Linked DNA regions of Saccharomyces cerevisiae S288C. The gene in region 2 interacts genetically with the main gene of each other region. Each region holds a gene or a part of one and is shown on either strand. Other genes may lie near its edges.

Region 1 (4,135 bases), on a different chromosome or scaffold from region 2:
GATTGACAGACGAAATAAGAATCTCGCTGGGTGAAAAAGTTAAAATTCTGGCCACTCATACCGATGGATGGTGTCTGGTAGAAAAGTGTAATACACAAAAGGGTTCTATTCACGTCAGTGTTGACGATAAAAGATACCTCAATGAAGATAGAGGCATTGTGCCTGGTGACTGTCTCCAAGAATACGACTGATGAAAATAATATTGACGTTCGCATTTAATCTATACCTATAATTCTGTACTTATATACTGTTCCTTAATTGAAGATTTCAACATCGTTTTTGATGTAGGTCTTTTCACCTGGAGGTGCGGCTGGGGTACCGAAGACTAATTGAGCTTGTACGGTCCAAGACTCAGGGATTTTGCTTGGCAAAGCAGCTTTTATGTAACCATTGTAGTGTTGTAGGTGACCACCCAGGCCCATTGCCTCCAAGGCAACCCACGAGTTGATTTGAGCGGCACCAGAGGTATGGTCCGCGAAACTAGGGAATGCAGCTGCGTACGCTGGGAAGTCAGCCTTTAGCTTTTCAGTTACCTTGTCGTCGGTGAAGAAGATTACAGAACCAAAGGCCTCATCCCTTGCTGAAGCAGGCCTCTTTTGACCGGCAGGGCTTTCTATAGCCTTAGTCACTTCGTCCCAAACTTTTTTGTGAGTTTCACCAGTCAAGATAACAGCGCGATTTGGCTGGGAGTTGAAAGCGGTGGGTGTTTCTTTAATGATGGTTTGGACGACGGATTGGATGTCGTTGATAGTAATTTCACCAGGTAACTCCGGTTTCAAAGCGTAAATAGTACGACGAGCAGTTAAAGTTTTCAAATAAGTTGCAACAGCAGACATGATATTGGATTGTTTTTTTGTATATATGTTGATATAGGATACTTCAGTCTACGAAAAAAGTACAAATTATGTAGTCAGTTCCTTCAGTATGGTGTCCTTATATACTGTAGTTTGGACAAGGTGCAAATGCCAAGACCCTAGCCCGAAAAGCTCGAGGCACCCCAGGATCTTTTTCTTTACGTAATTTTCACGTAAAACGCCACAGTCCGATTTTTCTCGAATAATCATTAGTAAAAGCGGTATACTGGATTATTGTACGATAACAAGGTAGAGCTTTATTACTAAGCTAAGACGTTCTTACATCAATAGTGCTGTTCGTTATTGATGTTAGGAGAAGGAGCGGGTCTGGTGAATAGTGTAAGCAGTGTTTCTGAACTTTTTCTTCGTCTAAGTCCTTGTAATGTAAGGTAAGAATGCAAGCATCTTGTTTGTAACGCGATTGTACGTTGACGTTAGTAAGTCACAAACCCAAGCTTAACTTCTTCGTGAGGAAGGAAAGTGTTGTCTCCTACTTTTTTCAAATTTTCGAATTGTATTTATATTTATTTAGTACTTCTTGAGTTTACATATCCTTCGTAAAAATGCAACTTTTGTCGAAAAACACTTCCAAAAAAAAATAATAATGAATTTATGAAGCATACTAACGAGCGAGCACATCGCTGAGGTATCATTACTTCATGAGATAAATTAAGATCTCCTCATATGCGAATTTCCTGTTCAGTGATAAACGTTGATTACGTTATTGATAAAAGTCTTTTCTTCTGGCAAGGCAGTTGGAACACCAAAGACCAATTGAGATTGTACAGTCCACGCAATAGGAACATCTTGAGGCAAAGCAGATTTGACGTAGTCATTATAGTGTTGCAAATTAGCCCCCAATCCCAATAGTTCGAGGGCAGTCCAAGACTGAATTTGCACAGCACCGGTCGTATGAGCGGCGCATGTTGGGAAAGCGGCTGCCAAGGCTGGAAAATCTCTTTGCAGTTTTTCAGTTGGTCCTTCATCAGTGAAGAAAATGACTGAACCGTAAGCCTCATCTCTGCAAGACTCTGGTCTCTTCTTGGCTTCAGCAGTTGGCATTGCGCTCGCAACAGCATCCCATATCCTTTTGTGTGTATCACCAACGATAATGACAGCGCGATTCACTTGTGAGTTAAAAGCTGTTGGCGTATTCTTGAGAATAACGTGTACAGTTCTCTTTACATCATCCAAACCGACACCTTGTGGTAATTCGGGCTTCAAATTGTAGATGGTACGACGGTTTGTAATAGCGTTTAAGTAGTTTCCAGTTGGGGACATTTCTTTGGCTTGGAGGTCTGGTGTTCTTGATTTTGATGGTGTATATAGCTTTAAAAAACCAAAAATGATCAACCTTTATATCTCTCTTCGATCACAACATGGGTGGAGACAAACACAAAGTAGTGATGACCCACTCAGGTGTTAAAGTGTGTCATATCTGCAAATGACACTGTATTTTTTTTTCCTTTGCCATTTATTGTCGCAGTAAGGAAAAGCGCAGAGCAAAGCTGACAAATTGAAAAATTATTCGGAAGAGCATTGACAAATATTGATTAATAATCAAGTAACACTCGCAGACATTGTTATTTCAGAAGTAAAAATATCGCAGAACAAGTTGGTTAAACTGAATGCTTCAGTCATTCTAATGCTAATTACACCTTAACAAAATTAAAAATTCTTAACGTAGATTTTTAAAAAAGGCAAGAAGATCGTTCCTGATGCACGACGAAAACGGTTGCACCCCTACTAAGGCAAAATTGCATATGCGGATGAAATCAAACCTCTTCTGTTGCATTAAGAACAAAAGGAAATCATTTTTCTCTCACTTCATATTATTTCACTTATATTTTCCTCTCCACTTCCATCACGCAATCGTTAGTGCTTTTTATTTTTTTTCTTCGCTCATAAAGGACTAGAATTAAAATGAAAATCGTCTATCATTACACGTATGCTATTACTACAAAACAGAAGTACAAAAATGAATAAATATAAAAGAAGTAAATGCTTTTTTTTTTAACACCAGAAGGCAACGACCCTTTTCCAATAAGGTCCGTTCCTCAAACGTTCCCTATATTCTTCGTCTTCTTGCTTGATTAATTCTTCATCAAAGATTTGTCTATGAGAATCTAGGTCGATCTTGTCTGCCCTGATGAACAGTTTCCAATCCTTGTGCCAGACCTTGTAGCCGACATAAAGTGCAATCAAGATTGGCATAGCCAAGTAGTTTTCGAAAAAGGCTTGTGCATCCAGCTTACCTTCACCAATGGGGGCGATAGCGACCCAAAATTGGGCAATAAGAATTAAAATCATCATAATGCAAGCGTAGGCAGATCCCCAAACACCAGTTTGAGATTTGAAACCCAATTCTCCAAGAGATCTCCCTTGGACTTTCATGGCTCTTCTAAATCTAAGATGGGATAAACAAATGGCAGTCCATGTGAAAAGCTGAGACAAACCAGAAATGGCCAATAACCAAGTGAAAACTTGTTCTTCCTTGGGAGATGCAGCACAGAAGGCAATAACGGCAAACAATGCAGAAACACCCATGGCAATCAATGGTCTACCGGCTCTGTCGATGTAGGAGAAAACCTTAGGAGCGTAACCTTGCTCGGATAGAGTTAAAAATAAACGAGCACTGGAGTAGAAGGAGGAGTTAGCCATGGACAGCACGGAAAGTAGAATAACGGCGTTAATGAAGTGTGGGACGACACGGACACCGTGGGATGCAACAGCAATGACATATGGCGAGGCTTTAGTACCACCACCGGTAGAACCCAATAATTGATCGGAATTGTATGGCACCAAGAAACCCAGTAGAATAATGGTAGCCAAGAATAGGAATAAGATTCTGTAGATCATTTGTTTGGCCGCACCTGGAATGGCCTTTCTTGGATTAGATTGTTCTGCAGTGGTGATGGCAATAAACTCTGAACCACCAAAGGCAAAAGCAGCAGTCACTAATGTTGCAGCAACACCTTTAAATCTGTCAATGGCATGTTTACCATTGAAAGCGCCCGGATCGTGCCAGTATTTACCACCAATAAAACCATCATTACCAGCGCCACCAACATCGATGATAATACCAAGAATGAAGAACCCAGTCATCATCAAAATTTTGCAACAGTTGAAGAAGAACTCAGCTTCTGCATAACCACGAGCACCGAAAATATTAATAGTAATCACCAAAACATAGAAAATAATGACGAACACATCCGGGTTCACAGATGTCGTCCAATATTTGATAGTCATGGATGCGGTCACCAATTCCAGAGGACACACAC
Region 2 (5,010 bases):
GGCGTAGCCAGTAAAGAATCTTCGCAAACATTGTGAATGGAAATCCGGTTATGGCCACCTAACATCAACTCACTGTAATACTCGTCCATTGCCACTTTTGAGTCCCCGACGGGCTTCATATATTTGATGACAATGCAGTGGTCAACTTTTTTACCCAGTTTATCATTGTACAAGATATCATTAGACGCGATGATGTCATCTATGACAGAACTTTTGGAAATCTCCTTAGACCTAAATTGTTTTGGAGCAGATAAGTTATAACCGTCATTATTGCCTAAATGGTTATAGGATGCAATGGAGACCGGTTTAATACCTGCATCCACTAAGAACTGGGCCAGAACAGACTTCAACTTGGTTTGTCCCGACTTGAGATCGTCTCCCGCAATGAATGTACCCTCATGCTCAGCCAGCTGAACCAAGCCGGGAACAAAAGTATTCTGCGGTGAACCATTAATATAGGGGACACCTTCCAAGATAGATGCTGCTGCAAAGATCGTGGAAGGAGCAATCTCTTCATGGTCATTCTTAATAGACTGCAAGAGGTTTTCCATGGTGTCATTAACACCAGGAGATACTTCTACGTACCTCTCAGTATTTGCAGTCCAAAGAACGATTACTTTATCAAGGGCGTTTTCTTCTTTGAAATTCTGGATATCGCGTCTGATGCGTTGCAGATGGGTCCACTTACCCCTCGTGGTTACGTTGCCTTTTTCATCCAAATTGATGCAGTTATTGGCTCTCTCATCTTGATTAGCTGCAATGAAATCAGGGTAGTAAATGGAAGGAAGAGGCTTCACCAAGGACATCTTCGCCTTCAAGCGTTGTTGCAGATCATATTCGAGAACTTGACTTCTCTGCATAGCTTCGTATAGATCTGCGTTATTGATGTCCCAACCAGAGACGACAAAGTCGTTTGGGCTAACCATGGGCAACAGAGAGTTAAAAGGAGCATAAACGTCATTCCCCTCCGCATCGATACCCAGTTTCAAGGTAGAACATTGAGTCATGGAGCCGAAGTAGTTTGGTTGCTTAACGCCTTCCTTAGTTTGAAACTCCACATTGTGCTTATTCGCCAATACCGAGGCCACTAAAGTGGAGCCATTGTTGCCACCTAACCCAATGAGCATAATTCCTAGTTTTTCCGGCTTTTTCAAGTCAAGTTTGAACACGTAGTCTTGAACAGTGGGCGTTACATCGAAGCGGCCACTAGCTGTCTTCGTAACTACAGCATTTTCGTAGCTGTACTTGGTGAGCAGCTCGTTGTCCTTGTACGTGCACTTGTCGGTAACTACTTTAACGGAGGTGATTGGAGCAATATTATCTTCTGTCATTGTTACTTCTTTTTCACTGGAAAAAAAAGGGAATGAAACAGAATAAATCAAGGATAAAACTAACATTAGGAACCCGACAACAGAACAAGCCAAAAAAAGGTGACGAAAGCTCCAATTTATATACGTCTCAAATTAACATTGCCGCCAACGCAGAGGTGCGCTTTCTCTGCTCCATGTGAATTAAATAAGTTCAATATTCTGGGAAAGAAGGATGAAGATAAAATAGACAATACTTTTCACATGCCGCATTTAGCCGCCGAAGCGCATACTTGGCCTCCGCATATTTCACATTCAACACTTTCGATTCCGCATCCAACCCCGGAACACCGGCACGTATTTCATAAAAAGGACGTGAAGAACAAAAGGAACGAAGAAAAAGGCAATAATTTACTCTATGTGTTATTTAGAACTACGGTGATAAAGAGCTCGTTCCGATCACTAAGTACGGCCGGAAGAGAGCTGTTGTTTGTTGTCCATCAAGGGCACATCGGCACCGGCCTCATCGTCTTCATCATATGCTGGAGGCTGTGCTTGAGATTCCTCTGCAGGGTGAGCTTCCAGGTCACGGTCTACGGCGGGCGCAGTCGCATGTCTGCGTGAAAGATCGTACGAACGTTCACTACTCGTTTCATATACAACGTAGCAAGCGTGAATGATTGCTGGGAAGAATAACAGTAGGAAGAGAAGTAAGTTCAATAGTGTATCCCTGTTGAACATACCCTTACGCTTCCAGACGGCCACTGGGGGAATGAAAACCGCCAAAACCATTAACAACAAGTCGTCCTTGTTGATGGAATAGCTCATTCGATGGTCATGGTCATTAATATGGTCTCTGTCCATTTCTAAATTATATTTGGTTGTTTGCTTTCTGCTGGGTTTTTATTTTTTAACCTAGCCCCTTTCCTGCAGCTGGCTCATTCGTGCTGTACTCTCTTTCCTTTATATACTAGTGAGACCTTTTCCCCCGTTCCCAAAAAGAAAAAAAAAAAAAAAAAAAGAAAACGAGCCTTCATCACGTGCATTAAAGAAATAGTAATCCCAACGCACTCATCCGCTATATACATAGCGAAAAACTATATGCCCACTTCACAAATACGAGTTTGCATGTATAATATATAAGATTTATAAATGTTGTAGGGTGAATGTAAACGTTCAGTAATATACCGGTATATCTATCAAGATACGATCAATGCAACGCTTTACTGCACTGCACTACACCCCTTTTCCTCTACTTGTTTTTCTTAGTTCCTATTTCCCTCTCAAAATGCACCTGTTCACCAGAGTATTCTTTCTCATTGCAAGTATTACCCTACTTTATCGTCCCACACAAAGAGGAATATATATAGATTATAAGCGAATTGTAGATTTCGATGGAGATCTGATTTCCGTGCAAAATATCCAGGACGTCTATACACAGTGTTTACAACTCAGCTTATATTCATATCATGCCATTTCAAGATTATTTTCAGAAGAAAAAAGCAGCGTTCATTAACAGAAACAATAAAAGTAACGCAGATGCTTCAGCGCTACGAGATATTAACGATATTAACATAAATTTCGCCGCCAAGAGCAAAAACTACGTGTTCCCGCTAACAAAGCTCCCCGATGAGCTCATGCAAGAAGTATTCTCTCATTTGCCGCAACCAGACCGCTTGCAGCTTTGCCTTGTGAACAAAAGGTTGAATAAGATCGCTACCAAACTGCTTTATAGAAGAATATATTTGAACGACTCAAATGTAGTGAAGAGTGACTTCATGCATCTCGCAATTAATTGGACCCTACTGAACTTGCCGTCTTCGTTGAAAGAAGAGGAGTCCCGCGATATCGCCAACTGCAAATTGAAAAAACTTATAGAAACACTGCAAAATAATATTCACATTACTGAAGTCATCCAGTGGATAAGGATCAACTGGGATTTGGACTCTACCTTGCAAAGGTCCATTCTCAGCATCCTTTGCAATCAGGGCAAGTCCTTGCAAAGACTAGAAAACGTCACTGACCCGGCTTGTAACGATATCATCTCCAATGGTCACTTTTCCAGGAGCAACGTCTCAAGTTTCGACATGGCTCCTCCAAATTCATTGCCTGAGATGGTTGTTCCCGAAAATTACATTCCGAATCTCACCAAATATCTTTCACAGCGTATCTCTTCTCGGCTTTCTCATATGACTTTATTCATCGACCCTTTAAAACTGTTCAATTATCTTTACCCTTTAGATATCAAGTTACAAATCATCGATTTAAAATTGCATTGGAGGAGGGAGTTTTACAATAATGATTATTTTGTTAAAAAGATACGACCCGGCAATCCTCTGACTAAACTATCGGAGGTTTTTGACAAGAGGACATTGAAAATTCTTACCATCATTTCTTGGAATGACACTTTGTTAAAACGCGAGACAGAAATGCTGAAAGATTTTAAAGAATTTGAGAACCTGGAAGATTTGTCTTTGATTTCTATTAAGCAGGATGTTCATATCCTCGTAGATCTTTTTAGTTCGTTAACCAATTTGAAAAGACTAAAAATGGATTTCTTAGAGGAGTATGTACCTGAACCCACAAATCCTCACATATTTCTCTCCATTCTTTTAGCTTGCTCCAAATTGCAATTCATAGATCTGAGATACGACGGTCTTATCCCACAAATCATCAATATTCAAGAAAATAAGTTCCAACTAAATCAGCAATGCAACTGCACAAACTGTCAAATAGTATTCAGTGACATTCTGAAGGGCAAAATATTCATGTTCCCTGAAGACTACTATATTCACGATCTTCAAGACATTGCTGCAAAGGATATTTTTAAAATGATGAAATACCTATCTTTGTTACCATACTCTAAAGCTTGTGATGCTTATCCGAGCGTTAGAACACAACCAATGAATTTGACTAATTTTGTGACCAAGATGAACCGCAACCTTTTGGAATATAGAAATTCTAAATCCCAGTTGGTGCCCAAAATCGTTAATAACCCACATCAACACTCCACCGTGACTTCCACATCAACCGCTCATATGAGCGAGCCCGAAATGATAATAATCGATGACGATGATGATGATGATGAAATTAATGCGGCCATTCCTCCAAGTAGTGATGACACAGCAGCTACAATTTCCACTGACCTGGAACTTCCTCATGAATCATTGACCAAAAGAGATATTATTATGTGTTATCACGCTCTTATCCATCACTTCAAGTCGATTTACGTTACTTTTTTGAAAAGTTTTCCTCATTTGAGATTCTTGATGTTGAATGACATTCCCACAATAGTTATGGAGGAGAATAATGAACGTATTTTTGAACCCGTCTTTTATCATTATGATTATAAGAGTAATCTGTATGGATGGTCAAAGGAATCGAACAAGAATCTGGAGAACGACAGCAACAACAACAATAATAATTCTGATACCATTGCAAGAATAGCCACTGTTATGTAATCAACTCCCCTTCAAATATATATATTTAATAATATATATTCAACGCATTTTTTAAGCTAGCAGGATTCAGATTACTGGTCTACTTCATATTAAGGAAATACAAGATCCATTCGGATGCTAGAAAAAAATCAACCAACTATTCCAATGTTGGTAAGCTGGTTTGATAAAGTAAACACAAGATACTACAGTATACGATCACTCAGACATCCTAGGAAGGTCTCTAAAGAAGAGCGGTCACCGAG

The links.
Region 1: mutations in SNA3 (region 2) and FRM2 together harm fitness more than expected from each alone (negative genetic interaction), as found in Saccharomyces cerevisiae (one large-scale study listed by BioGRID).

The regions. Positions count from the first base shown.
Region 1 is NC_001135.5:73,151-77,285, forward strand, and holds FRM2 (type II nitroreductase), read right to left. Parts: upstream 2,136-4,135; coding exon 1,554-2,135; downstream 1-1,553. Other genes in the region: FUS1 (Fus1p), read left to right, coding at 1-191; HBN1 (putative nitroreductase), read right to left, coding at 255-836; amino acid transporter AGP1, read right to left, coding at 2,868-4,135. UniProt on the Saccharomyces cerevisiae protein: Type II nitroreductase, able to reduce 4-nitroquinoline N-oxide (4-NQO) into 4-aminoquinoline-N-oxide (4-AQO) via 4-hydroxyaminoquinoline (4-HAQO), using NADH as reductant. involved in the oxidative stress response.
Region 2 is NC_001142.9:134,603-139,612, forward strand, and holds SNA3 (Sna3p), read right to left. Parts: upstream 2,172-5,010; coding exon 1,770-2,171; downstream 1-1,769. Other genes in the region: inositol-3-phosphate synthase INO1, read right to left, coding at 1-1,331; SCF ubiquitin ligase complex subunit DAS1, read left to right, coding at 2,777-4,768.